Linked DNA regions of Sus scrofa. The protein of the gene in region 7 purifies or fractionates together with the protein of the main gene of each other region. This does not show direct contact. Links are inferred from orthologs where the notes say so. Each region holds a gene or a part of one and is shown on either strand. Other genes may lie near its edges.

What was found.
Region 1: the proteins of DDX6 (region 7) and ATXN2L purify together in Homo sapiens (affinity purification with mass spectrometry; 6 studies listed by BioGRID and IntAct, with this or other methods). This does not show direct contact. The link is inferred for Sus scrofa from reciprocal best matches to the Homo sapiens genes DDX6 and ATXN2L.
Region 2: the proteins of DDX6 (region 7) and LSM14B purify together in Homo sapiens (affinity purification with mass spectrometry; 4 studies listed by BioGRID and IntAct, counting the BioPlex papers as one, with this or other methods). This does not show direct contact. The link is inferred for Sus scrofa from reciprocal best matches to the Homo sapiens genes DDX6 and LSM14B.
Region 3: the proteins of DDX6 (region 7) and G3BP2 purify together in Homo sapiens (affinity purification with mass spectrometry; 3 studies listed by BioGRID and IntAct, with this or other methods). This does not show direct contact. The link is inferred for Sus scrofa from reciprocal best matches to the Homo sapiens genes DDX6 and G3BP2.
Region 4: the proteins of DDX6 (region 7) and EDC4 purify together in Homo sapiens (affinity purification with mass spectrometry; 4 studies listed by BioGRID and IntAct, counting the BioPlex papers as one, with this or other methods). This does not show direct contact. The link is inferred for Sus scrofa from reciprocal best matches to the Homo sapiens genes DDX6 and EDC4.
Region 5: the proteins of DDX6 (region 7) and PATL1 purify together in Homo sapiens (affinity purification with mass spectrometry; 6 studies listed by BioGRID and IntAct, with this or other methods). This does not show direct contact. The link is inferred for Sus scrofa from reciprocal best matches to the Homo sapiens genes DDX6 and PATL1.
Region 6: the proteins of DDX6 (region 7) and ATXN2 purify together in Homo sapiens (affinity purification with mass spectrometry; 6 studies listed by BioGRID and IntAct, counting the BioPlex papers as one, with this or other methods). This does not show direct contact. The link is inferred for Sus scrofa from reciprocal best matches to the Homo sapiens genes DDX6 and ATXN2.

Annotation. Positions count from the first base shown.
Region 1 is NC_010445.4:18,504,817-18,508,891, forward strand, and holds the start of ATXN2L (ataxin-2-like protein), read left to right. Parts: upstream 1-1,275; 5' UTR 1,276-1,808; coding exon 1,809-2,110; intron 2,111-2,737; exon of another isoform or gene 2,738-3,450; intron 3,451-3,604; coding exon 3,605-3,641; intron 3,642-3,856; coding exon 3,857-3,913; intron 3,914-3,993; coding exon 3,994-4,065; intron 4,066-4,075. UniProt on the Homo sapiens protein: Involved in the regulation of stress granule and P-body formation.
Region 2 is NC_010459.5:61,552,460-61,556,755, reverse strand, and holds the start of LSM14B (protein LSM14 homolog B), read right to left. Parts: upstream 2,801-4,296; 5' UTR 2,627-2,800; coding exon 2,500-2,626; intron 745-2,499; coding exon 581-744; intron 1-580. UniProt on the Homo sapiens protein: mRNA-binding protein essential for female fertility, oocyte meiotic maturation and the assembly of MARDO (mitochondria-associated ribonucleoprotein domain), a membraneless compartment that stores maternal mRNAs in oocytes.
Region 3 is NC_010450.4:71,360,675-71,364,868, forward strand, and holds the start of G3BP2 (ras GTPase-activating protein-binding protein 2), read right to left. Parts: upstream 2,801-4,194; 5' UTR 2,585-2,800; intron 1-2,584.
Region 4 is NC_010448.4:28,488,206-28,492,226, forward strand, and holds the start of EDC4 (enhancer of mRNA-decapping protein 4), read left to right. Parts: upstream 1-1,221; 5' UTR 1,222-1,500; coding exon 1,501-1,585; intron 1,586-4,021. UniProt on the Homo sapiens protein: In the process of mRNA degradation, seems to play a role in mRNA decapping. Component of a complex containing DCP2 and DCP1A which functions in decapping of ARE-containing mRNAs. Promotes complex formation between DCP1A and DCP2.
Region 5 is NC_010444.4:11,826,961-11,830,894, reverse strand, and holds the start of PATL1 (protein PAT1 homolog 1), read right to left. Parts: upstream 2,801-3,934; 5' UTR 1,085-2,800; coding exon 1,025-1,084; intron 948-1,024; coding exon 836-947; intron 1-835. UniProt on the Homo sapiens protein: RNA-binding protein involved in deadenylation-dependent decapping of mRNAs, leading to the degradation of mRNAs. Acts as a scaffold protein that connects deadenylation and decapping machinery.
Region 6 is NC_010456.5:32,667,848-32,671,082, forward strand, and holds part of ATXN2 (ataxin-2), read right to left. Parts: intron 2,460-3,235; coding exon 2,314-2,459; intron 1,394-2,313; coding exon 1,166-1,393; exon of another isoform or gene 735-1,165; coding exon 684-734; exon of another isoform or gene 1-683. UniProt on the Homo sapiens protein: Involved in EGFR trafficking, acting as negative regulator of endocytic EGFR internalization at the plasma membrane.
Region 7 is NC_010451.4:46,036,337-46,039,836, forward strand, and holds part of DDX6 (probable ATP-dependent RNA helicase DDX6), read right to left. Parts: intron 2,682-3,500; coding exon 2,565-2,681; intron 1-2,564.

The DNA.
Region 1 (4,075 bases), on a different chromosome or scaffold from region 7:
TCTGGAGTGAAGAGAGAGAAAGACACTGGAAGTTTATCTGGGATTGAAACCACAGACTCATCACTCCTCCACTCTATTTTCCACACTGCAAAGGGTAATCTTTTAAAAATTGAACCGGTTCTATCCCCGGCCCAGTACAGTGGATTAAGGATATGGCGTTGCCTCAGCTGTGGCGTAGGCTGCAGCTGTGGCTAGGATTTGATCCCATATGCTGCAGGTGTGGCCGTTAAAAAAAAAATAAAGTTCATTAAAAAAATGTAAATCTGGGAGTTCTTGTGATTCAACAGGTTAAAAATCCAACTAGTGGGAGTTCCCATCTTGGCTCAGCAGTTAACAAACCCGACTAGTATCCATGAGGATGCTGGTTCAATCCCCGGCCTCACTCAGTGGGTTAGAGAACTTGGCATTGCTGCAAGCAGTGTTGTAGCTCACAGATGTGGCTCTGGCCTGGTGTTGCTGTGGCCACTGCTTTGAGGATTATGCTCATGTCTCCTTAATATCTGGTCCCACGTTACTTAATTTTCCAGTTTCCTTTTTCAACCTCCTCCCTCTTTAATTTCATACTCCAGACATGCTGAAGTTTTCCTAACTTGTCACATCCTATGCCCCCTGCCTAGAAACCCATCACCCAGTGCTGAATTAGATGTCATTCCTATCTACTCTTAGTGCCCCGTGCTTCACCTAAGAGATCTAATTGTCTGAATCTACCACTAGTTTAAACTCCTTGACAAGGGCAGGAAGTAATTTCATTACAGTTATATCGAAAACACCTAGCCTAATGTCCTAATGACCAACTAATTTGAATGAATGAAGGCTACCTTCCTTGTCGAGTGGGGTGGAGGATTTTGAACTAGACTCTAGGAACTTTGGCCTTCAGACAGTCTCTTTGCTGCTAGTTTAAGAGTCCCGTTCCAGGGCGTGGAGAAATTACTATATTGAAAACCATATAATATAATTTAGAATTAGGCAGATATTTATCTCCAAACTGCTATCTTTAACGCCTATCAGGCTTTTATGTAAATCAGATAAGCTCCGAGAGTAGCTCCCCACGAAACTACCACCAGCTTCAGCGAAGTCCCGGGTCTACTCTCGGGATTTTTTTTTTTTTGCACTCAAGACTCCGCCCACAGGCCCCCGAATGGCGGAAGAACTGCACGCTACGTCGTGACTTCTCACAAGACTGCGGAGGCATCCCGACGCTACGCCGGCGGCGTAGGCGGGGCGGCCGGCTCTTCCTTCCTCTCTGCTGCTTCGGCTCCTCCCCCAGCGCTTCACACGCTCATTGTGAAGCGACAGCGGCCGGCAGTCTTCTGGGCTGCTTGAGATCTAGAGACCCTAAATCCTTGGCGCGCGTGAGCGCCCGCGCTGCTCCTCTCCCACTCCAAAGGCTAGAGGCGCGAGATTCACCTTTCTTTATTCCCTCCTCTGTCGCCCGGAGCTAACCGCCCCGGTGCGCTCGGACATCTCGCGCCGACGCTCCCTCCTCCCCGCCCCTCCCCCTTCGGGAGCTCCCGCCCGGGCGCTCCTCCCCCTCCCTTTTCCCCGGCGACGCGCACGCGCGCCAAGCCGGCTCGCGCCCTCTCGCTTTCCTCCGGCCCGCGAGACCCCCTCCCCTTCCGCCTCGCGGCGCTTCCTCGCGCCGCGGTCTTCTCTATCCACCCCCGACACCGCGGGGCTCGCCCCCGCCCGCCAACGGCGGGTCCCCAGCTTCCCAGTCCACCTCGCTTCCCGCGCTCTCCGGCGGGGCCCCAGCCCCGGCCTCCTCTCTCCCTCCCTTCCCCCTAATTCCCTTTCCGGACGCTGCCATCATGTTGAAGCCTCAGCCGCCACAACAGACCTCCCAGCCCCAGCAGCCGCCCCCCACGCAACAGGCCGTGGCCCGACGGCCTCCTGGGGGCACCAGCCCTCCCAACGGCGGCCTCCCGGGGCCCCTGGCCTCCACCTCGGCTCCCCCAGGGCCTCCCGCGGCCGCTTCCCCCTGCCTAGGGCCTGCAGCCGCTGCCGGGAGCGGACTCCGCCGGGGAACCGAGGGCATCTTGGCGCCACAGCCGCCGCCGCCGCAGCAGCAACATCAGGAGAGGCCAGGGGCAGCGGCCATCGGCAGCGCCAGGTGAGAACGTGTGGGTTTCCGGGCGCCGGAGCCAAGGTGGCCGAGACCTGTACACCGCGCGAGGCAGACCTCTAGCCTCTGGCCACCTTTGAGGGACGCCAGGGGGAGTGGGGAAATCCCGTGGAGCTGGGGGTGGGCCCTTCAGGTTCTAACAGGTCGGAGGAAAGCCTCCGCGGCTAGCCACCGGGACATTGAGGGTGCGCGCTCAGCTCTGAGCGACCAGTCACTGCTCGGGGCTTGGGCCTTAAGGGCAGGCAGGGCGCATCCCGCCAGCGGCGTCGGAACGAGTTGGGGGGGTGAAGAGGTGATAGGGGTCCCCGGCTCCATTACCACGAAGGGTCTCGCGGTCCGGAGCTTCAGCCAATGGGGAGTCAGCTGCGGGAAGGGGTCCCTGGCCGTAGCCAATGGAGGGGGGCGCGCGGCCCACAGTTTGGCCAATGGGGAGGGAGGGACTTGGGAGCGAGTTGCTACCTCCCCCTTCCCAGTCCGGCCAGTAGGAATGGAGCAGAGTGGGCGGGGGGGACGGAAGGAGGGACAAAACTGGGAGGACTGCGGGCCGGGAACCTCCAGCGCGCGCGCGCGCGCTTCCCGTACGTGCGCGCGGATGCTCAGTCTTATGACCCGGCCATTCTCGAGCCCCGGGTAACATAGAGGGCAGCTGCCGGGAGTGTGCTTGGACGGGTTCGCCGGGTGTTCTTGGATGAGTGGTGGACACCCCACTGTGTTTCTTCTGTTTGTGGGTTTATAGAATTGAGAGTGGAGGTACACGCAGGCGCAGTGGGTTGTGATCGCGGGAGGGGGGATTTTGAAGAGGCCCTAGGGCTTTAGTGCGCAGGCGCAGACCGGGCGAGGCCTCCCGGTGGAGAGCTTTTGCGGCTGCGCTGTCCCCCAGCCCCGCCAACGGCCCCCTGATCGTCCTCTTCAACCGACGGTTACATCAGCCAGCGAGGAGCAGGGTTACCAGGCGATTGGTGACCCCTTCCAGAGTGGGTAATAGGCTGAATGAGTAAAGAGATCGAGAGGGTGGATTGTAGAGGGAGTACCCCTCCTGCCAGGGTTTAGGGCGCAAGGCTACGGGAAATGATGGTCTTTTCTGTTGGGGAGGTAATAAATGCATGCCTGATCTAGGTACTCACTCTGTGAGCTTCTATCTTTACATCTGGGGTGGGCTGTTAGTTATCAAATATTATAGCATTTGTCTGTTGGAAGCATGCAGCCCTGGCCCTCTTGGAGAAAGTGAAAAGGTTGTGTTGAATTGGCTTTTGACAACCCTTGATGACTGAGGTCTGTTTTGCTGGCAATTGGAGGAAATGGCTTTTAATGTCCTTCTTGCTCTGAAGGTGAGATCTTGAAAGTAGTGTTGATTAATTGGTTTGTAGCCTAAGTGATTATCTTTACATGATATATGGTTCTAACATACCAGGTCCTTTGAAATCAATGGTACAAAAAGGATTGAGCATGAAATAACTAGCTCCTTGTTTCCTTTTCTTATAGAGGACAAAGCACAGGAAAGGGACCCCCACAGTCACCGGTGAGTGCCTTCTCCCCCTCACCCAAGGCACAGAGACCTAAAAGATGCACGGATGGGGATGTAGGGCAGATAAGGTGCAACAATAGTCAGATTGGTTGGGAATAGCAGGGGGCCCAGCACATATAAGGTGGATATTAGTGGACTGTGGGCATTTAGAAGGAAGGTGAGATGTTGACTGGCTGTTCCTTTATTTGTCTCTCCTTTGTTACTGACAGGTGTTTGAGGGTGTCTACAACAATTCCAGAATGCTGCATTTCCTTACAGCTGTTGTGGTAAGTGGGTACCTAAACTCTTAGGAATGTAATGCATCCGTTTGCTGGAGGCACTCGTCCTTATTTTCCCGCTCTTTCAGGGCTCTACTTGTGATGTAAAGGTGAAGAATGGTACCACCTATGAAGGTATCTTCAAGACACTGAGCTCAAAGGTCAGTGTAC
Region 2 (4,296 bases), on a different chromosome or scaffold from region 7:
TCCTCAAGTTCCCAAGGACCCTCACTCCAAACCTTCCATCTGGCCTGGGGCTCCTCCAGGTGCCCCCAGAGCACAAGCCCCCACCTTCTGGGGGGGGACACCCAGCCCAGGAGCCTCCTGCAGGGCGAACCGCAAAGGAGCCAGTGAGCATCCAAATGTCCAAGTCATGAAAGCATGAACCTGGACTCCCGAGCGATCCCGGGCAAGCACGCGGCACAGCAGGCAGGCCTGTGGTGGGAGCTGCAGACTCAGTGCCCACGCCGCCGCGTTAACAGCTGGACGGAGTTGGGAGAGCCAACCCTGCTGTCCCAAGTCCCCGCTAGCATCTCTGCCGCTCACAGCATGCCACAGGGGCTTCAGGCTCAGCCGACCCCAAAGGACAAACACCGTCCTGGCAGCGCGGGTGCTGCCCGACTAAAGACACTGCCCCCCCCCAACAGCCCAGACAAAACTTAAGCCCTTTTCTCGAAGAGCTGCTCCTCGAGAGGAGCCCTCTGGCCAGACGACACCGAGTTCCACCTGGAAACCAGCGTGCCTCCGAGACAAGGCCCACGACGGACAGAACAGGTGCTGCACTCACCTGAACGATGGCGGGGTCCTGGGGCAGCGTGTGCTGGGCTTTCGGGGGTTCACACACCGTGATGTCCTTGATGTCGCTCCCCCGGAAGATGATGTACTCGTAAACCTCCTCCCTCGGCGGGGCAGGCCTGTCCGTGGGCCGGTCTTCAGTGCCGAAGGACCTCACTTTGGAGTTGAGGAAAAAGGGGCTAAGTCGCTGTCCTCCCGGAGCCGGTCCTGGCCCCCAGGCACCGGCTTCGCCACCCGACACGCCCGCAGCGGCTCCGCCCAGTGGACGATCCCTACGCGACCCCGGCGGGCAAAGCTCCAAAAGGTGCCGAGTCAACTCAGAGCCTGACAGTCGCACGGAGCTCAACGTTCTCACGTCCCAACACAGACGGCCACCAGCGCTCCCAGCCAAACAACAGCTGCTCTGCAGACCCCGTGCACATCTGACTGTGCAGATTCAACAGCCCCAGGGCTGCCTTTAGACAGAAACCTCACCACACGTCACCCCCGAGGAGTCTGCTTCCTTCTGAGAAGAGCCAGCACGTCGTGCTATCCCTGCCCTTCTGCCCACAACCAGCCTGGGAGGAGCCGCGACGGAAACAGCGGGAGAAGGGGCTGTGAACGGGGCCCCGCAGCGCCAGCGCCCATGTGGGGGTGGGGGCCGCGTTTCCAGGCTACTGACCCAATCGGCAGGGTTCAAGGAGCCCAAACAAGCATCTCCTTCTCGGGTCTCTGGGGCAGAGCTGGGCTCCAGGCAGCCTCTACCTAGTCTGAACACACTCCTGCTGAGGACCAGGGGCTACTCCGGGCCTCCGTTTCTCCAGCCAGGATCTCAAGCCAAATGCAGTCAAAAGGCAAGACTACACACGACCACGTTCCCTCATAAAGCTACACTCTCCCGGACCAACGCAGTCTATCCAAACTTCACCACCAGGCTTTAGGACGAGCCATTCCCAGAGCTGGCAACCAACTGCGACCCGAAGGCCTGGGACTCCCTCTGACATAGAAGCCTGTGTGCTGTGCCTTGAGCCTTAAAAGCCCAGCACGGCGTCTCGAGCCCGACAAGCCCGGGTAGACAAACAGGGTTTCTGCAGACCGGGCTGCCCTCGGTGCTCCTAAAAGGCGGGGAATGACACCAGCCCCCTTCCCCGAAGGAAGACAAAGAAAGTTTGAGGCCACCTCCCGCCTCCACACCCTCAGAAAGACTGGACTCCGGGAAAGCCTCAACACAGCCATCTTCCTCTAGTCTCCCAGGGACTTCGCTGCGGCCACCAGCCCGTGCAGGGAGGGGTCGGCCACAAAACGGTGAATCCGCAGGCGGAACGTCTGAATAAGGGCAGGAAAGCGATTTAAATGGGCGCTCCTAGCCGCCAGCCGACGCTCCTACCCTGGCAGGAGAATCCATTAAGACGTGGTATTTGTTCAGGCTCAAGGCCCCAGCCGCTTAATAGGTTCCAGAAAGCTTGCAGGAGTCGGGCTTTCCCAACCCCAGGCTTCTGGGGAGGCCCCAGGGAGACTCCCAGGCCCCCCGCCCCGCCCCTCCCCCGAAGGGGCCGGGTGCTCCGCGCCAGCTGGCCCCTCCGCCCGCGGGCAGGTGGGGAGGCGGCGGCCGGGCAACGCCGGCCCCCCACCTGCAGAGGTGGGCTGCGCCGCGGAGGAGGCGGCGCCGCGGGAGCTGGACCCGCCCCACCTCCCCACCCCAAGCCCGGGCTGGGCGGGCCGGCCGAGCACAATAACGCCGCCGCCGGGGACCGGGGGCCGGGGCGCCCTTTGTGCAGGCCGAGCCCCGAGGGGCCGCGGCGGCTGCCGCGCGGAGGCCCGGGAAGCGGGGCGGGGGAGGGGGCGCGCCGGGGGCGGGGAGGACGGCGGCGCAGGCCCGGCTGTTGGCGGGGGGCGGGGGCCAGGCGGTTGGGGCGGCCGCGGGGCCGCTACCTTTGGCGAGCGCCACGGTGGAGTTGTCCGTGTCGATGGTGTAGAGGATGCCCTCGTAGCGGATCTGCGCCTTGGAGATGAGGCTGATCTTGCTACCCAGGTACGGGGTGCCCGAGGAGCCGCTCATGGCGGCGGCCAGCCGGGCCCGGCCCGCTCGCCTCCGCGCGGTCGCCTCGCCGCCCGCCCTTGTGCCTCGGCGCCGCCTCACCGCCGCCCGAGGGCCTGCGCGGGTACCAGCGAACGAGCGAGCGGCGGCGGCGGCGGCGGCAGCGCGCGGCCGGGGTCTGTGAGAGACGCGCGGGGGAGGAGGGGCCGCAGCAGCCACATCCGGGGCCTGCGCCGCCACGCCCCGCCCCCGCATGCTCGCCGCCCATTGGCTCGCCGCGCCGGCCTCCCTTTAAATATGGCCGCGCCGCCGGCTTGGGGGCGGGCCCGCGCTCCGCGCCTGCGCACCCAGCGCCGCCGGCCGGGGCGGGCTTTCCCCTGCTCTCCGCCCCACTTCTCGGCCCGCTCCCGTCGGGCTCCGCGCGGGGTGGGAGCACGAGACTTGGCGGGCGGGCCTGGGGGGAGGGGTGGGAATCGACTGGGGCGGAGTGCGCGTGCGCGGGGCGGGGACGGGGCTGGGGGGCGAGCCGCACGTGTGTGTGTGGAGAGGGGCGGGGACGGGAAGCCCCGCGCGCTCTGCGCGCTCGTCTGCTCCGGACCTAGGCTCCGGGAGCTTGTAGACGCCTTTCCCGGGTCTTAGGTTTCCCCCCTACGAAAGTGTGCCCGGCAGCTTTCCCCCGCCCTGGCTGGAGAAATTGGGGCGTGTGCCCCAATTCTCCCCTCCCCCAGGGGCGAAGGCTGGGGGTTGGTCCCTTCTCCGGGGAGCGAAGTCCCTGCCCACGGAGATCTCAGTCACTGCGCCTGGGGTGAAAATGAGGCCCCAGGGGTCTCTTGCCCAGGGCGGGGGTGAAGGCAGCGGGTCAGACTCCCTGCCCACGAGGTCACCATCCGTGGAGTGAAGATCGGGAGTCCGGGGGGGCAAAGGCAGGGGCCGGGGGTCCCTGCCGGTGTGGTGAAGGCTGGAAGGGGTTCCTCCGCCGGTGGGGCGCAGTAGTAACTGCGGGGAACTAGCGCTTCCCGGCGCGTCAGCCGCTAAATATAATGTGCTGAGCGCATCGTCTCATTGAATCCCGCCCCTCCCCCAAGCGGCGGTGGCGCTCCCTGTCCCTTAAAATAAATCCCAGCCGCCCCGCCAGGGCTTCCAAGGGCCGCCTGACCTGGCCTGCTCGCTGCTGCCTCCAGCCCAGAGGCCTCGCGGCAAAATGGAGAAGCAGACCGTCCCTTTCCAGTTCGCCAGACCGTCTTCTGCCCTGCACAGCCCTTTACTCCATTAGCGCTTACGTGGGCGCTTGCTTTTTGTCTGTCTGTCCCTCCTGACATCAGATCAGGGATCAGCATTGGGTTCTGAAAAACAGGGAGGGTGACCAGCATTTTATAGAAATGAACCGGAATGAGAGAAATAGCAGAGAGCTCACCGCATAGAGTGCCGTTGCTCTGTGAAGCGTTTATTTCACTTAGATGTGTTGAAATGGGTACTTGATCAAGGTGTAAAGTATTTCTTGCTTTAAGGGCCAGAGGAAATAGTGGAAGCTGGGAGTTCCCGTCGTGGCTCAGCGGTAATGAACCAGACTAGTGTCTATGAGGACGCGGTTCGATCCCTGGCCTCGCTCAGTGGGTTAATGATCTGCCGTTGCCATGCGCTGTGGTGTAGATCCCAGGCGCCGCTCATATGCCAAGTGGCTGTGGCTGGGG
Region 3 (4,194 bases), on a different chromosome or scaffold from region 7:
AACCCTCTGTGCCTTAGCAGAAACTCTGCGATTTTGAACTATATAATGGCATTCCTTTTTTTGGCAGTGCCTGTGGCATGTGGAAGTTCCCAGGCCAGGGATCGAACCTGTGCTGCAGTTTCAGCCTGCACCACGGCTGCAGCAACACCAGATCCTTAACCCACTGCACCACAAAGGAACTTCCTCATGGCATTCTTATACTGAATGTTTATAGATTTATGCAAGTGAGAAGTATAATGGCATTAAGTCAGGCAGTCACATTTTTTTTTTCACTTTTTCTCTTCCTTTATTTAAGAAATGGTTCTTGAGCATTTGCCATATTAAAGGAATTATGCTAGATGATTAAAGGGTACAAATAGGAATAAGACACGGTCCCTGACTTTTCTTTATAAAAATCACTGGAAGTGGATTTGCATATAATCTCCTTTCTCTTTGGAGTCCCTTCCATGGCTGCTCTGTAATGACGTCTCTGCTCCCCTTTCAGACCCCCAACTGGGAGAAAAATTAGCCACTGTACCCTCTCTGCCTCTTCTTGACCCTGGAAGCATCGAGTAGCTCCATCTTTTCTCAGACATCAGGAGAAAGGCAAGACTATGAGGTCAAGGGGAAGTCTGGGGGCTCCACACTCATCTCCTCTGTATCAAACCGTCCATCCTTCCTAACCAGGGGGGGACTAGAGAAGAAAAACAGGTCAAATGACGGGAAGACTCAGTACACTGTTAGTGACTTACTACACTCAAAATTTAAAACAAAGCAGGGCATTTTGAAAAGGCAGGTGACTTAAAACAATTCTGCTAAAATGTCAAGGTGCTTTTTATTACCAAATAATGCATGTTAAGAGACACCCATAAGCCCCACTCCATCTCAGAGTTGTATCCCTGATAATGGGGTAGAGTGAGGTCCAGGGAGGAGGTGAGGAGAGGCTCAGGGAGGAGTGAGGCTGAGGGACTGAGTGAAGTTCTTTGCACATATTACTTGGTAATAAAAATGCTGAGCATTTATTGGTTACTTTTCTTAGGCTGCAACAAAATGCCCCATGGAAAATGGCTGAAGCAAAATGTCAAGTGTCTGGTTTTGAAGCAGAGGACAATGCTTTGTGTACAGTATTTTTGGCAGCATGATCTCCCCCACTCTCCAAGTCACCCAGGCTTATAACCCTGGCCCTAGGAAAGGAAACTGCACGGCAGCCTTTGTGATATGGGTTATCTACAATCCCACTGTACTTACAGCTGCAAAAAGAACCTCTCCTCCTCAGCATAATATTCATATATCCTTTAATATTTTCTTCATGTATCCATCAATACCACCTTTATTGGACACTGCTAAGCCACAGAGACATAAAAATGAATAAAATAGCTGTGCCCTTAATAGTCCACTTCAACAAGCATTTACTGAGAGCTTCCCACTTATTAACACCTGCAAAGTGCTAGCATATACCTATGTATCTGGATTTCAGGGAAAGCTTTCAGAAGATGCCAGAATTAGGTCTTAAGGAACTAGCAAGAGTTTCCTTGAAGAAGTGGAGGGAGGGAAGGATATATCCAGGCAGGTATCAGAAGTACACGGGGGAGGCATAAGCTAGAAAAATAGGCAAGAGTCAGAACACAACAGGCCTGTATACCAACCTAAGGAGTTTGGATTTTATCATGGTGAGAATCGGCAACAATTGGAAGATATTAAGAAGAGGACCAACATGCATAGATGTTTTGTCATTGGTAGGCTCACCCAGGCATAGACTGGAGACTGAACTGGAAGGAAGCCATGCCCTGAATGCAGACAAACTAGTTAGGAAGCTATTGCCATGATCTTGGTGAAAAATGATGAGAACATAAACTATGTCAGAGGCAGAGAGGATGGAGAGCAGGGACCTATTTGAGAAATATTCTATAAATAGAGTGACAGGACTTGACTGCAGGACATGTGTGGGTGAAACCCAGAGTTTCAGATTCCTCTCAGCTTCCTCCTTCTAGCTTAGGCAATGCTTTGGAGAGCAGTACTAAGGAGTGGGGTCGGGCACATAGAAGATGCATATTGATTTTTTTTTCTTTCTTTAAGGGAGGCTGGGGAGACCTGCAGTTGGAGGGGTGTATGAATCAATCAGCTAACTGGACCCTGCGCTTTTTAGGTTCAAGACATTTACGAGACCACTCCATAAGCATGTGTACCTGGCACTCTCATTTCGAAAGAAACAAGGCATGACGATTTGAAAAATGACATTTTTATGTTAAAAAAAAAACACTGAAAATATAGGGTTTAGAGTTAATAAAACATCATACTACTAGCTGCCAGTCTGACACTGCAGATCAATGTATTTCCTATCTTTAGATAGGTTTTCGCTTCACACCACTTGAAAAGAGCGGTGTACCTGGTGCTTAGATCCAGGAATTCCTTTTAGCGGGTTTAAGAGCAAGAGCTGAAAAATGCGCCCTCCCGTGGTAGTGGAATGAGGGGGTTCTGGCACCCTTTCTACCACCAAACAAAGCCCTGTAAAGAAATGCAATTTATGGGGATGAGAAGGCCACAATGCTGGTACCGCTACACCGCAAAACCAGAATGAACCCTCCCAGGCGTCGGGACCCCTTACCTGTCACGTCGGCCGAAGGTAAATTTCACTTTCCACTCAACAAAATACGACTCCTGATTTGACAGCCTACAGTAAACCCCACTCGGTGACAATTAAAAACCCTGCAAGCCAAAACGCGTACACTATTCGGATCCTCTCCAGCCGGCAGGGCCGGGCTCCGACCACGTGGGTGGTTGAGGCCAGCAGAAGGCACCCGCGAAGGGCGGGAGTAGGAGGCGTGTCCCTGCGGAGGGAGGCGGGCCCTGCGCAGTGGGCGGGGCTTGACGACCCCGGGCTGCGGGCCTCCGCTCGCCTACTTTCTCCCTTTGCCTTCGCCCTTCGAGCCGCCACGTAATGCCACGTCCCCGCGCATGCGCATCTCGACTGGTGGCGGCGGCTGTTTCCGGGCTTAGGGGGCTGGAGCGGCCGCCGAGCAGGAGGCGGTGGTGGCGGCGGCCGCGGAGTGCAGAGTGCGGGCTCGGAGGCCAGGCCCAGCGGAGACCAGAGGAAGTTATCTTTTTTTTCCCGAAGGGGTAGGCAGAGCCGGTGGCTGAACGGCAAGATGAATTTCCTCCGCGGGGTTATGGGGGGTCAGAGTGCCGGACCCCAGCACACAGAAGCCGAGACGGTGAGAGGAGCGACGGGTCCGGGACTTGGGAAGGGTCCGGGCAGGAACCGGGACGGAGGACTTGGGGCCCGGGAGGTCACCTCCCGCGCCCCGCTGTGGGCGGGGAGTCCACACGCCGCCTCCCCCTTTGCCGGCGTGCCTCCCCTTCCTCTGCCGAAACCCCCGAGTTATATTCCCTCACGCCCCCAGCGCAGCCACCAGCGCAGCGGCTCGGCCCTGCTGACAGCAGCTGCGCCCGAAGCTCCGCAGGCCGCTTGGTGGTGGTCCGAGGGTGATAGCGCCCGGGAAGTGATTGATCCAGGGCAGAGGTGGCCTGACCTGTCTCCCGCGCCCTCGGGCCGCGGGCCTGCCCCTCCCGTTGCGCCAGTGTCTCCACTGGCAGTGAGGAACCTAAAGTCCAGCTCTGTTCTTCGCAGTCTGATATGGGCTTTGGGGAGGACTGCAAGAAGGTTTAAAACCCAGCTGTTGACCGGAGCAAGTGGCTAAGAATAATACGATAGTTTGGGACACAAAGCCACCTGCCCCTGTCCCTTCAGCTGGAGAGACCGGTCGTTCTGCCGGGTGTTATTAGTCCGGACCCTGTTTCAGGCTCACCCAAATGCTTAGGAAACACTAGCCCGGACGTTGTAGGGATCTTTCGCGCTCAGTCCGCTTTGGGAACACATTTCCTTTCCACTCACCCCATTCAGAAGTCTGAACTCGTGATGACATGATTTGCAGCGTCTCTTTTAACAAATTGTGCGCTCCTGCACACAGTAGTTGTTAAGTTGGTTCTATTTTAGGTTTAGGAAGTTTGGTTAATGTCTGTTAGAAAAGCGTGTATATGACATTTTTTTAAAGACGCTTTTACGTTGAGGGTAATTTTAGATCTCCCCAAAAGTGACAAAGTATGACATTTTTAAGGTAAACTTTGGGTAGTGTTCATAGACATGACCTGGTCGTCTGCAAACATGTCCTGTGTTGATGGGATCCTCAGGGGTAAAATAGTAGCATTCATTTGTCA
Region 4 (4,021 bases), on a different chromosome or scaffold from region 7:
TGTGCCCCATAAATCCCAGGCCAAGCAGAGGGCAGCCTAGATGCTGTACCAGCTGCTTTGGATATCATTGCCCAAAGGGGAGTGCCTTGAATAGCCAGCCTCCAATGCCCACAGATCCAGGCCTAGTTGAGTTGGAGTATAGATTTAGAGCTGTAAAAGAACGCAATCTGAGTTTGAGTGATTCAGGTTCTAGGATTTCTCACCTCTGAGACCTCTGCAAGGCATCTCTAGGCCTCTTCCTAGTCCTTCCCTTACCACACACCCACCCACCCCTTCACATTATCTTCAAATCCCAAGAAATCTCTAATACTGAGGCAGTTTCTGCTCCTCAGTTTGGGGAACAGGACTTGCCTAATACAAATCTGGCCCTTTAGCCCTGAGGCCTTGGTGGTGTAAAACTGGTAGCAGGGTAGCAACCACAGGCTAGGACCAATCCAAGGACTTGGGCTGGTGTCCTGTAGGGGTTTTAGGATTGGTGAGGGCACCACAGCTTTGCTTGACCTTGAACACCACCTCCCTCCCTCCTGCACTCTGGATGGAAGCCAAGGACTTAACTCAGACCCCCACTTGTTGCCTGGCTACCCTGGGCACAGAGCTGGATGGTGTGCTGTTTGGAAAGACAGCATACTCAGGAGATTTCAGTGAGACGGATTTCTAGGCTGCTGTGTTATTTGGGGGGTGGAGGAGGTTGGGGAGAGGCAGAAACCTGCTGCCTCTTAAACCACCCTGTATAAAATCGGCAATACAGCTTCTTCCATGTACCTGTGCCTGAAATGTCTGCAATAAAGAGGTGTTTATATTACTATGGTTTACTTTCTTTTTGCCCAAGGGTGCCAAGACATGCAGGGGGATGCTGGGGGACATTAAGGAGTGATGTGATGTTTGTGGAGACAATCTCCCCTGCCCATGCAATTCCTGGGTCCAGGATTTCTCAGATCCCGTCAGGCCTTGGGTTACAACCACACGCTTCCTGAAGGGGAAACCGAGGCTTCTGTCAATCCAACTTGTTCCTGGGGCATCTGAGTGATTCACCTTGGCAACCGAATTGACTTGGTCCTAGGCCCATAGGGAGTGGATTTGGACCAGGTGGGATATCCTGAGGCGATCAGAGCTTTGGGCGGTCCGGTAGCTGGACATTTTGCTCTCCTTCAGCCCTGCGGAACTCCTCCCCCTCACCCCGACCCTATTAGTCCCGGGGCGGGACCGCGGTAGGGACGGGCTTCAGGAGGGTGCGTGGCGGCCACCCCCAGCCCGGAACCTTTCTTCTCCGCCCAGGGCAGGTTCCGGGAGCCGAAGCTCGGGCGGGCCGGAAGTGGAGGCGGTTGGTGGGGTTGGCGGGGCTCAGGGACGCGGCGCGGGCGGCGGTTTGCGAGCTTCAGGTGGACGGAGTGTGGTGACTGGCGTCCCACTGTCTGGCCCTGGCTGGGTTGTGCGCCCCTGGACGGTGCGCGGCGTCGGCGGAACGAACGCGGTGCGGACCGGGCGTCCGCGGCTGGGCCCATGGCCTCCTCCTGCGCGAGCATCGACATCGAGGACGCCACGCAGCACCTGCGGGACATCCTCAAGCTGGACCGGCCCGCGGGGGGTGAGCTGGGAGAGTGGGGGTGGGCCCTCGGCGACCAAGCAGAAGGGCGGCGCGAGCCTCGACCACCTTCATGGCCCAAGGGTCCTTGAGGACCGGCTCTTCATCCTTTCTGCCGGCGAGGGCGACGAGGGTGGGAGCGGCACATCCCTGAGCGTGCTTCCCAAAGGGCGCAGACCCCCGTGTGCAATCCTTCCCTGTCCCGGAGTCCGGCCGTTCTGCCTCGTCCTTCAGCGTTTTGGCTGAAAGTGAGGCCCCTTCTCTGAATCCGCAGAGCCCCTTAGGTCTCCTGGCCCCAGGGTCTCTAGTGTTCTTGGGACTGGTCCGGGTTTCCTACCCTTTTTGCCCTAGTTCAGACGCTTAGTCTGGGCTCTGTATGCCAAATTCTGGGTCTAGATTTAGGCGCTTATGCTGAGGAGCCGCTGATCCCCCTCTGCACCTTGCCCTTCCTTCTTGAACAGACTCCAGGCCTGAAACCCATTTTCAGGAGGAAGGTGACCAACCCCAGTTCTGTGTCCTCTCTGGCGTTAAGATATATCACCGAGCTCACAATCCTGATTGGATTAGGCTACAAAGATCTGCAAGCCCCAGTTTATTTCCATTCATTTAAACTTTGCAGTGGTGCTTCACAGCTGCTCCTGCCCTCAGTGAGCCCCCTGGACACAAGAGCTAATGAGGTGTAATATAATGCTCTTGTCTCTGAAAGAAGGGTTTTGGGACTGTGATGGGGAGACGGTAGGTGGAGAGGGGGCTGGAAAGTGCCTAAGAACAGATCTGAGAGAGGAGACAATGTTTAGGCTAAGTCTTGCATCTTGGACAGAGGCTTGGATGTCAGAAAAAACATTCTACAAAGAGGAAATGACACGTGTGACTACCAAAGTTGCCTGGCAGGTTCAGGGGCCTGTGAAAAGCTGTAGTGGTCGAGAAACTGGTAGGTGATGGTGATGTGGATGGGCAGTGGCCAGAGCTGAGAATTGGTGTGTCTTCAGATCCTGTTCTTAAACCTGCTGGAAGGCCCAAACTGACTCCTTTTGGAAGCATGCACTGGTGCCCAGTCTTGGATTTAAGGACCTTTCCCTCCTATAGAAAATCCACATGCTGCCTACCACTGAGTCCTTTTCCCCAGGCCTGGAGTGCCTGCTGCCTTTACTCATAAGCTTGGCTTGGGCCTCTCATGTCAGCTGCTGTGCAGACTGGTCTCCCCAAAGGTTTGGTAGAGCCTGGTGTGGGTAATGCTGTGTAGTTTGTTTGTTTGTCCTCATGGTAGCCTGCTTGGGAGGCAAAGTGGTCAGCTTACCCTGAGCAGCTAAGGTGGCTCTAATGTAAGTGAAGAGGCCTGTGGGCTTTCCTCTTAACTCCTTGTTTATTGATTGGTACTTGATTTCCCACTTTGCCAAGTTACCCTTGCTTGTCTCTACTCACTGGAGAACCATGTCAGACCCCAGGCTCTTTTGTGATGAAAAACTTGCCATATTCCTGAATAGAAAGCCCTAGTCTCTTTGCCACCTGGGAGTTTTGGAGGGGTGTCAGAACCTATGCGGGTACTTGAATCAGTCAATGGCAGACAACTGAAATGCTGTCTCTCCTGACTCACACCCTACCCCATAATTTCTCTCCTCTTTGTCCAGCTCCTTCATGTCCATTCCTCTAGGGTGGGTTCTTCTGAGCCATTTCTGTGTGAGGCAGTCTCCTTCCTTTCTTATTCTCACGTCTTATCATGTCTTTCCATGCCTTAGGAGCCCAGCCCCTCTTCTCCAGCCCCTCCTCTACTTTGGTCTAAGCCCTGGTACCTCTCACCTGAATTCTCAACTCTCCTGCATGCTACTTTAGAGCAGTCAATCCTCTGGCATAGCAGACCAATTCACTTACCCATTTAAAACTCTTATGGCTCTTATTACTACAGGAAAATCTAAGCAACCAGCCTCATACATGAGACCTCTGTAGCCTTGTTTTCCCTCCATCCTTCCCATCTTTGTGTGTTATTGCCACATTGGCTCTGGAGTTCCCATTGTGGCACAGTGGGATTGGTGGTGTCTCTGAAGCGCTGGGATGCAAGTTTGATTCCCCAGCCCAGGACAGTGGGTTAAGGATCCGGCATTGCCACAGCTGCAGTGTAGGTCACAACTGTAGCTCAGGTCTGAACCCTGGCCCCAGGAACTCCATATGCCTTGGGGCAGCCAAAAAAGAAAAAGAAAATAAGTAAATAAATCACGCACTAGCTCTGATGGCACCTCTTCTGTAAAGTCTGTCCTGACCCTTCCTTTGCCCTCCCTCAAGTACATAGAGTCCCTCTATGCTGACCCAGGGCTGCGTATTAATTGGCCTTAAAGAGGCCATGATAACTTGAGGACTTATACTCCTCCCCTAGATAGAAAAGCCCCATGCTCATCCTTGGTCCTAGCATACATCGGGTTCACCATCAGTGTTTATGGAATAAGA
Region 5 (3,934 bases), on a different chromosome or scaffold from region 7:
TTGTTGTTGCTATTTCTTGGGCTGCTCCCGAGGCATATGGAGATTCCCATGCTAGGGGTTGAATCGGAGCTGTAGCCACTGGCCTACGCCAGAGCCACAGCAACTTGGGATCCGAGCCGCGTCTGCAACCTACACCACAGCTCACGGCAACGCCGGATCGTTAACCCACTGAGCAAGGGCAGGGACCGAACCTGCAACCTCATGGTTCCTAGTCGGATTCGTTAACCACTGCGCCACGATGGGAACTCCAGAAAATTTCATTTTTGCACAACACCTTTCTAACTTACAAAGACCTCTTACTACCAAATTCCTGGAATAAAATATGTAATTAAATATACTTACTATAGGACAAAAGCAGGGTCAGGCCATATAAAAATTTTCAAACATACATATATGAATCTTAGTTTTCTCCTAATGCACTAGTTTTCCTTAAGTTACGTGTTTCATGAAAAAAAACAAAAAAAACAAAAAACTTCCTTCTCTATCCAGTGTTGCCATGAGCTGTGGTGTGGGTCACAGACGTGGCTTGGTTCCTGTGTTGCCATGGTTGTAGCGTAGGCTGGCAGCTATAGCTCCAATTCGACCTCTAGCCTGGGAACCTCCATGTGCCACAGGTGCGGTCCTAAAAAGACCAAAAAAAAAAAAAAAGTCCTTCTTCTAGGATTATTTTAAGCCTTTATAAAATGTCCACTTGTCTAACCATTTGAATTTCTTATAGTGTCAACTTAGAACGATAGATCATAAAGCTGGAAAAGACAAGGCTTAGAAAACACCAGATTTTCTAAGTGAGGCAAAAAGAGACCAGAGGAAGACAAAAGTACTTAATATCGCTTACCAACTGCACCTGACCCAAATGTATCATCATTGAATTGATCAATCTCTTCATCTTCCTCTCCCAGCCCCTGAAACGCATCTTCATCTTCATCCAGAGGACAATCCTCCAAAGACTTTAAGAGAGAGAGAGAGACTGATAATTCGTGAAGTTCACAACCTCACTTAAAAAATGTTCTAAAAATGTTCTTACCTTCCCAATCAACACAATAGCTTCATTATGACTTTTTGTACAGATGGCATTTTTTTCCATCCCCCAATTTTCCCGACATTGGAAGATTTGCAAATCGTTTCTTTCAGCTTCTCTTTCCTATTCCTTATTTCATTTAACCTCTTCCCCCAAATTTCCATTTCTCTTTTCAGCAAGAATCTAATAATAGCATTTCCTCATGCAACCAAGAAATTAGGCCTGTAACTTCCTTTCCATCACTGGTTACAATAATGACAAATGAAAGCAAACACTTTACATTTTGCTAGAGTTTTACATCTATTTTTCAATGAAATTCTTATCTTCCCCATATTCATGTCATCTTTTCAACCCTTTTATTATTCCCTTTTGAAGCTTTCTCATCATTTTTCCTCTTCCTTCTTTCTACAGGCCCAAAACTGGTGATAAAACAGAAAGCTAAGATTTCAATCACAATTAAGTAAACTCTTGAAAGGCCGGGATGTGGCAAGTTTAAGTTCTGTCTCAACTCTGACAAGTGATATCAACTTGGGCAAATCACAGCCGTTCTGATGAATTCATTCAATACCTCCTGAGCACCTACTGTGTCTCAGCCTGTATTAAGGCTCTAAGCCACAATCTCTTAGGTGGTAATACAAGGACACCACCACCTGCCTCAGCAAGTAGTGAGGATCAAAGGAGAAAAAGATTGAAGCAAACATTGTGTATTGTTAAACAATGCTAGATATCACTTGGGTATGTTCTACTTTAAACACTCCCCCCCCCATTTCATTTATTTTTCCAAGTTTTCTTTTCTTTGGGGAACTTTGCCCCACCACATCTCAGCATGTCTCTCCATGTTTACATATAGTCAGTTTGATCTCGAGCCATTCCCATCAAATAGCAAGAATACACAGCCCCAATTTTCAAATACTCAGAATCAGAATTCCACACTCTCTGGCAGGCACATTTGTGATAACACCTTGCCGGCTATTTCTCAGCTAGGCTGTTCCCAAAAGAAACGTTAGGCCAAAGGGCCATCTTAGGTCCTTCCAAACTTAGACAAAGCAAGCATGTGCAACTGCATCCACATCAGAGGCAACTTCCAGAAGCATTCCCAAATCACAAAGATCTACTTCACCGAATCACTGCTTTTTAGGTTGGAAAGGGATCGTCTAGACCCACCCTTTCTACAAATCCAGAAACTCTGTCTAGTGATTAGCAGTCGCTAAAGGTCATACAGAGACTCAGTGGTAGCGTCATAACTCTGTTGCTGTATTCCAGGGACCATCACGAACCCCCAGTTTCCCTCCATTCGCCCAGAAAAAACTTCTGCTGGACACGCCCCTTCCCCACTCGGAGCTCTCATCAGTAAACAGTCTTCCGCCCCAGTCAAAGGGCAAGTGCAGGCCCGGGTGACCTGACGGTTGCCTGCGAGTAAGGGGCTATGTGTAATTAATGCGAGATGATAGTTCTGGGTCTTAGGCGGGAAATGCGTCCCTGGGCTTTACCCTGTGGCTCTTCCTTAAGCCTTAAGTGCCACCGGGTGGGTGCAAGGCTCTCAATGCCGAGCCCCACCGGGGGTACGGTGGGGTGGGGGGTGGTTGGTTACCGCACTTAACGGGCCCTCCCCACCCCCAAACAGAGGTCAACTCTCCTCAGTAGCAACTGATAGGACAGTCCCGCCCCCACGAAGCCAGCTCACAGCCCTTGGACTAAACCCGCGACCCCAGAGCCCACACACTCTGCTCGGTCCTGCCGGCCCCTCCGCCCCCCCTTTTCCCCCCGAGGGGCGCGGACCGACGCGCTGAGCGTGAGAGAAACAGAGAGGGGGGCGCGTGCCGGCGGGAGGGAGGGGTCACTTCCGGTCGCAACAGCTCACCTCGTAGCGGAACATTCTTGGGGAGGGGGGGGAGGGAGCGGGGAGGGGAATGGGGGAGGGAGGGAAGAAGCGCTGACTCTCCGGGCTCCTCCGCGCGCGGGTCCTCCACCGGCTCGCGACCCCTGGCCGCCGCCGTACGCCGGAGCGTGCGTGGGAACGTGCGCAGGCGCGCCTCGGGGAGGGCGGCCGCCCCGCTCCGCGCCCGGCGGCGGCGGCTGCGCGGGGACAGATTTGGCGTCCCGCTTCCTAGTCTCGGCGGCGGGAAGGAGGTCCCGTGGCGAGAGACTGCGCACGCGCCACCCGTCGGGGGCTTCCTCGCGATCCGAACCTGTAGCTCCGCCCCCGGCTTCTCTGCGCCCGCCCGACGCTGAGGTTCGAGTCACGAGTTTTCCGTCACCGACGGGGCGGAGAAAAGCCTTGTGATTGTCACAGGATATGGCTTTGGAGAGTCCCAGGCTTAGCTTAGGCTGGGAGAAATGGACATTCCTGGGCACTTTTTCCAGCGTCCAACACCGTCTTCGGGTTGCTTGGCGGTCTTCACGACATACGATAGGCACCGAGTGGAGGGGAAAAAAGTTAAAGTTCAGGTCATCGAAAGGGGCTGAGTTCGTCGCCACTTTCAGCGGCACGTCACCCGCTGAGTCAACAGCAGGTCAGGGCTGTGATTTATGTGTCTCAGAGATGAAGGCTTTTTTTTCCTCTTTTCTTTAAACCGAAGGCTTATTAGGGAGGTTCAACCAGGGAGGTATTTTTAGGGCTCAGGCACATCAAGCGTGTGGAGTGAGGGAGCCAAAAAAGGCAGCACAGCCGTGGGCAGCAAGGTCATCGAGGCTGAGTGCGCCGTAGGGTGACACCACCTCCTTAGAGGATCAGGACCAGAAAAGCATTTGTCCAGGTGCCTTGGCAGCCTGTTTTCAGAAGTCTCTTTGGAGAACTGTTATCTCCGCTAGCCGAACTCACTCTTTCCCCTTGAAGACTAAACTTGGCTACGAAATTTAGTCCTTGCACCACGAATTCTTGTGCAGTTTCGCAACTCCTTTCTCCGGTGTCTTAAA
Region 6 (3,235 bases), on a different chromosome or scaffold from region 7:
CTCCCCACCATCAAAAGCAAATCATCCACTGCAGTCCACACTATAGACCCTACACATTTGCTGGGGAGGACGCCCCCAACTTCCCAGAGCTGTGGGATTCTAGTTACAAGGTCGCCTTCTGAGATTTAGCTCCAACTGAGCAACATCTTCAGCCCCCACCATGCCAGAGCCTCAGTGGTGCATTGCTTGACAGGAAACAGAGTTCAGTGAGGCAGTCTAGCTTAGACCCGCCTAAGAGAGTTCTGTTATGAAAGCAGCAAAAAGAGACATCAAATACAGCCGATTCACCCTTAACAGCTCCAGGGAGGGCATCAAAGGACAGTATTAGAGCCCAACTTCAGTGCAGCTCCTTCTCCTCATTAAGACAATCCAACTTGGCCCTGGATTGCATTGGACTTTTGTCAGCAGCTAATGCAGACAGAAAACACACCTTTCAACCTTTACAAGCTTACACTGGAGGTGAGCTCCAAAGTGCTTCCAGGGCTGCTCTTTAAGAAAAATGGGAACAACACCTGGGAGCTTCCAGCTTCAAGTTACACTGCACCAATGTACAAGGCCAAGCCCTTTCAAGAAGTACAACATATGGTCAAAGCAGATGTATGAACAACCAGGGAAAACAAGTGGAAAGATTTCTCTGGAACTCATGTGACTAACATTCAAGCGGACAGGACCAGGGTAATCACCTCAGAGTTGAGAATTTGTGAAATCCCATCTTCTTTACCAGACTTGTGTGTCTGTGTGTGTGTATGAGAAGGGGTTGGGGGGGGGAAGGGGAGAGAGGGAGAGAGAGAGACAGAGAGAAAGACAGAGAGAAAGAATATATGTATATATACGTATATATAACAATGAAGTTATATAAACATAACAAAGCAGACACAGCAAGGAAAAGAACTAAGTTGCATTCCAGAGTCAAAGATATTTTTAAAGTCTCAATTGAGAAATGTTAAAAGACTGACTAATTAGCAACTTCACTGATCCCATTACAAAGCCACACAAACATTCATTTAGGGCCAGATCACATGTATTTGAGCAGGAAAAGGGAGACAAGCAAATGGTATCACACACAAGGTTTCCTAGCTTGAAGAGCATCTGGCTCTTTGCTGTTTATCTGATAACCTTCATATTCTACTTGGTCTTCACAGAAAGTTGGCTAAAGCAGGTTTACCTGAGGTACATGGGCCATGTGGGGTGGATTGGTGTATGCCGGCTGAACATGAGAAGGATGGATCGTGAAGACAGTCTGTTGTGCTGTTGGGAAGCTATTCTGTGGCGACTGCGTATTGGAGGCAGGTGTCATGGAAGGTGGGGTTGGAGCGAGCCCTGCATGGTAAATGGCTGACTGCTGTTGTGGACTGGCCAGATGGAGAGCCTGGGCAGCCTGGTGCTGATGGTGCTGCAAAATGACAAAAGACTTGAGAAAATCACTTTCTTTAAAGAAAAGCAGTTAAGCGTCACACACAAAGCTGAGTTTTACACATGAAAACAGGCTCCACTCAGGCCCATCCTTATAAAAGGAGGGGCAATGGCAAGTACAAGAGAAAGTACAGAGTGGTAAGAGCAGGCTGGGGTGAGAGGCCTCTCAGAGACATCCCTTTCTGGGGGGGAAAAGCCTGATTCTCAGCCTACACTCCCTCAACCAAGTGGTGGTAAAATAAGACTATTGCCCCAGGGAACTGATCCATATCAAAGAGCTCCCTAAGTGTCCTGCTAACAACATGATAGGAGTTTGGATTGTGACTCAGAAGTAACAATTAGGATCCATGAGGATGCAGGTTCAATCCCTGGCCTTGCTCCGAGGATTAAGGATCTTGTGTTGCCATGAGCTGTGATGTAGGTCACAGATGTGGCTTAGACCTGGCATTGCTGTGGTAGGCTGGCAGCTGCAGCTCCGATTCAACCCCCAGGCTGGGAACTTCCATATGCCAAGGTGCGGCCCTGAAAAAAAGAAGCAAAAACAAACAAACAAACATGATTACAAAAGCTAACAAGAAAAACAACAAACAAACAAAAAAAACCCCCAAAAAACCAACCCCACACCTCATCATATAAACATTAGGAATTAAATTTTTAAAAAGTCCCAAGCAAATTCCTTACTTTATGTTAAATTAGATTTTTCAGTGTTGGTAAGCTTCCAGAACTTAACCAATCACCTTATTCTCAATATGTGACTTAAACCCTAGGGACGCAGCCTGCAAAGCTATACGCTGCTAGGTATTTTGATCACGTGGTACCCAGCATCTTGTCTGACACTAAAAAAACACTCAGCAAATATTATGAGGAAGCTCTGGTGAAGACCTCTGAGTTCCTCCTTACCTGAACAGGACTGGGTGCAGGATGGCTTCCACCATGCTGGTTCTGCTGCTGTCCAGTGGGAGTAGCTGAAGGCTGAGGATGTGGAGTATGTGGGTGCAGGGTAGCATTAGGGTGCGCATACTGTTGAGCAAGGGAGCCAGTGGAAACTAAAGTGAAAGAAAGAGGAGTGTGTATAACAGACGTGTGTGATGATCTTGATCACTCCTCTATGCCTTGACAACTCTCAGTTGATCAACTGAGCTGTTCTGATGCTCAATGCCAATCTCTATATCCAACTCCATTTAAACCATCCATTTCTTGAAAAAATAAATGTGAAGTTACTGCTTACCAACCAGACTAGAATTTTATTCACATTAACACAGCTGTACACATTATATCAAAATCTAATTAGCTTTAATTTACTTTTAAAAGAGTCACTGGGTTTTTGTGAAAAGGCAGCTTAAAAGCATAAACAGAACTATTCAATCGCACACATACACATACTTTAGGTCAAGGCCATCATCTGGCTAACCTCACCATGATACTGCCCTGCAGCTGGCACAGTGATCTGTGGGCACAGATTTTTACCAAAGCTGGAGTAAGGGGCTGGATAAGGTGTGTGGCAAGGTCAGGGCTCTATCTTCAGGGCCAAATGACCACAATCTCTCTCAGCTGATAGCAGAAGCAACTCAGTTTGCTCCCTGGGCTTCCTTGCTCAAGGATCTTTCATCTTTGCTTTATAAAATCTAGTAAATAGGATTACCTAAACTACTGTAGAAAAACTAACTCCCTTCAAAGCATTCCAGCCTTTAGAAAGAATTTCACTAGCCAGAGTAACCTCAAAAGAAATATGATGGGCTAGTTTTAGTAAAAATATGTTCATTAAAGATAAGAACCCAAAGCCAATTTTTTGTGAATCTCAGCACAGATCATATTTTGGCAC
Region 7 (3,500 bases):
GATTTGATTAAAACTCACACAAAGCCCCAAAATTTCCATTGTTTTTTTATCCTACTCAAATATTTTTACCTGAATTTGTTTAAATAAGAGAAAAGCTGAGTTCCTGCCGTGGCTCAGTGGGAATGAATGTGACAAGCACCCAGGAGGACACAGGTTCAATCCCTGGTCTCGCTCAGTGTGTTAAGGATCCAGCATTGCTGTAAGCTATGGTGCAGGTGGCAGACACAGCCCCGATTTTGAGTTGCTGTGGCTGTGGTGCTGAAGCTGCTGTTCGACCCCTAGCCTGGGAACTTCCATATGCCACAGATGCGGACCTAAAAAGAAATAAATAAAATAAATGACAAAAGCCAACTCAATACATACAAGTTAAAAATAAAAGGCGAGGAGTTCCTGTCATGGCACAGCAGAACCGAATCTGACTAGGAACCATGAGGTTGCGGGTTCAATCCCTGGCCTTGATCAGTGGGTTAAGGATCTGGTGCTGCCGTGGGCTGTGGTATAGGTTGCAGAAGCAGTTCAGATCTGGCACTGCTATGGCCCTGATGTAAGCTAATAGCTATAGCTCCAATTAGACCCCTAGCCTGGGAACGTCTATGTGCCTCAGGTGTGGCCCTGAAAAAAAAGGACAAAAGACAAAAAAATAAAAAATAAATAAAAATAAAAACGTGAAAAAAATGAATCATTATTTTCTTCCCCTGGGAATTAATAAGCAACTAACACATACCTATTCACATCTATATGTAGCATTTTTCTCAGTTCTTAAAGGTATTTCTCTTCTTTGCTGAAGTGGATTTTAAGTGATAATTTTCAGCTTTTTTTTAATTGCTAGTTGGGTTCATAACCCACTGAGCCACAATGGGAACTCCCCAGCATGTTTTTGTTATATTTACTTTTAAAATGTATCAGAGGATGCCAGAAATCTGGCTTGACTAAAACAGCTACTATTTATCTTTTCAGTTAATATATACAGACACTAAAAGTCACTACGTCCTAATGAAAAAACAAAAATGAAAACACATACATAATGACTCTAGCAAAAGCAATAAATACAGCATTCAGCAAATTGGTCTTTCAATGCAGTGTCCTTCCATTCTGAAATATTCTCTTCAGCTTAATAAATTCATCTCCTGTGATAATTTCATTTAATTAATTAATTCGGCTGCACCTGAAGCATGTGGAAGTTCCCGGGCCAAAGATCGAACCTGTGCCACAGCAGTGACCCAAGCCACAGGAGTTAATAAGCCAGATCCTTAACCAGCCACTAGGCTACCAGGGAACTCATCTTGTGATAATTTTAATATTAGGTGACTATATTATGGTATCTGATCCATGATATCAAGGTTCTTAGGAAACCAAATGTGGGTTAAGTTCTTAATGTCAGCCTACAGAAACTGCTTTCCTGTCATGAAATTTCATAATACTATTAGCACGCACACGCATAATGTTGTCTTGTTGTAGTCTTGAATTTCTCTGTTACAACAAGAGAGTGCATCCTCTTCTTAAGACAAACACTAAAGAAAAAAATATGTACCTAAGTGGAGTTCCCATTGTGGCTCAGCAGTTAACAAACCCGACTAGCATCCATGAGGATGAGGGTTTGATCCCTGGCCTCACTCAGCGGATTGAGGGTCTGGCGTTGGACCCCTAGCCTGGGAACCTCCATATGCTGCAGGTGTGCCCCCCCCCAAAAAAGGTACCTGAGGAGGTATACAGAGAAATTAGAACCTTCTGCAATGATGGAAATGTTCTGTATCTATACTTTCCAAACGTTGGCTGTTGCTAGTTACATGTATTGTGGCACCTGGAATGTGGTGTGACTGAAAAGCTAAATTTTACTTTTTATTTTTATTTTTTGTCTTTTTGCCTCTTCTAGGGCCGCTCCCTTGGCATATGGAGGTTCCCACGCTAGGGGTCTAATCGGAGCTGTAGCTGCCGGCCTTTGCCAGAGCCACAGAAACGCAGGATCCGAGCCAAGTCTTCGACCTACACCACAGCTCACAGAAACGCCGGATCCTTAACCCACTGAGCAAGGCCAGGAATCAAACCCCCAACCTCATGGTTCCTAGCTGGATTCATTAACCACTGCACCATGATGGGAACTCCTGAAAAGCTAAATTTTAAATATTGTCTAATTTTAACTCATTTATATTGCCACATGTGGCTAGTAATTACTATATTAAATAGTAGCACAAACCTAAGATTAAAGGAATAAAATCTCACATTTCTATTATGCTTGGCATTTACACACTATTTACTCATATATAATCTCAGTTTTCCTAACAACCCTATAAGATGTACTACTACCCCTATTATAGTTAGAAAACCTAATCATAGACACTTTGCTGTATAGCAGAAATTGACCAAACACTGTAAATCAACTATAATTTAAAAAACTAAAAATAAAAAACCCATAGAAAGGTTAAAATTAAGGATCCTTTGCCTAAGGGATAATTTATTCTTAAACTCAGGGCATTGAGAAGAGGATCAAAGCAAAACAAAAATTCAAAAAACACTTAGAAAAAGATTATTTAAAAACCTGTGCAAGTTCAAAGTTTTATACTCACCTGCCTCATTTTAGCATGGATATAGAAGCAAGAATAACCCAGTTGAGAAATCTTCTTGGCTAGCAATTCAACTCTCTGAGAGGAGTTACAGAAAATGATCGACTGGTTTATCTGAAGCTGAGCAAAGGGGGAAAAAAAAAATGTAAGAAAAACAAAAACCTTCATTAACTTTGCCAAATCTTGGAAATATTGACTAACAAATGACTAACAAATTCAGATTCTCATGATACAAGGGAGATGCAAAACTATAAAAATTTTAAGTATTATTCATCATGTAGTAGTTTTATTGTACAAGGGTATTTTTTCCAAGGGACACATAGTTGCCAACAAGAGTAAAACACAGTAAATTCTCATTACTTAAGGTAGTTATGTTCCATACAATTGCTGCAAACACTGAATTAGTGAATCTGTGACCACTGTTCCCAGGGAAAACTCAAGGTTAAGTTCCTGCGAGGAACTCATAACTTTGTCATCGATGGATCAAACAATAACTTTGTTGTATTGTGTTACTGTTTAAAGACACCTTATTTACTCATGGCTAACGGCACTGTAACTCATGCCTTTATGAAGTTTATCCAGTATACTTTTCCTCTGCAAGGTACATCATTCTTCTTAGGAACACAGGAGAGCACCTCAGCACTACACCTAGGAGCAATTTTATACTCAGGGTGGGGGGAGCACAAAAATGTGGGAAATGTGGCATTAAAAAATTATGAAAAGGATGTTCACTTATTTATTTATTTAGGCCACGTCCTCAGCATGAGGAAGTTCCTGTACCAGGGATCAAACCCGTGCCACAGCAATCAGAGCCACAGCAGTGACAATGTCGGATCCTTAACCTGCCGTGCCACCAGGGAAATCTGGTCCAAGGATGTTCATTTATATTATGAGAACTAAAACATGAAGGCAGTGTTGCCTTGTTCAACTTAAGGTAGG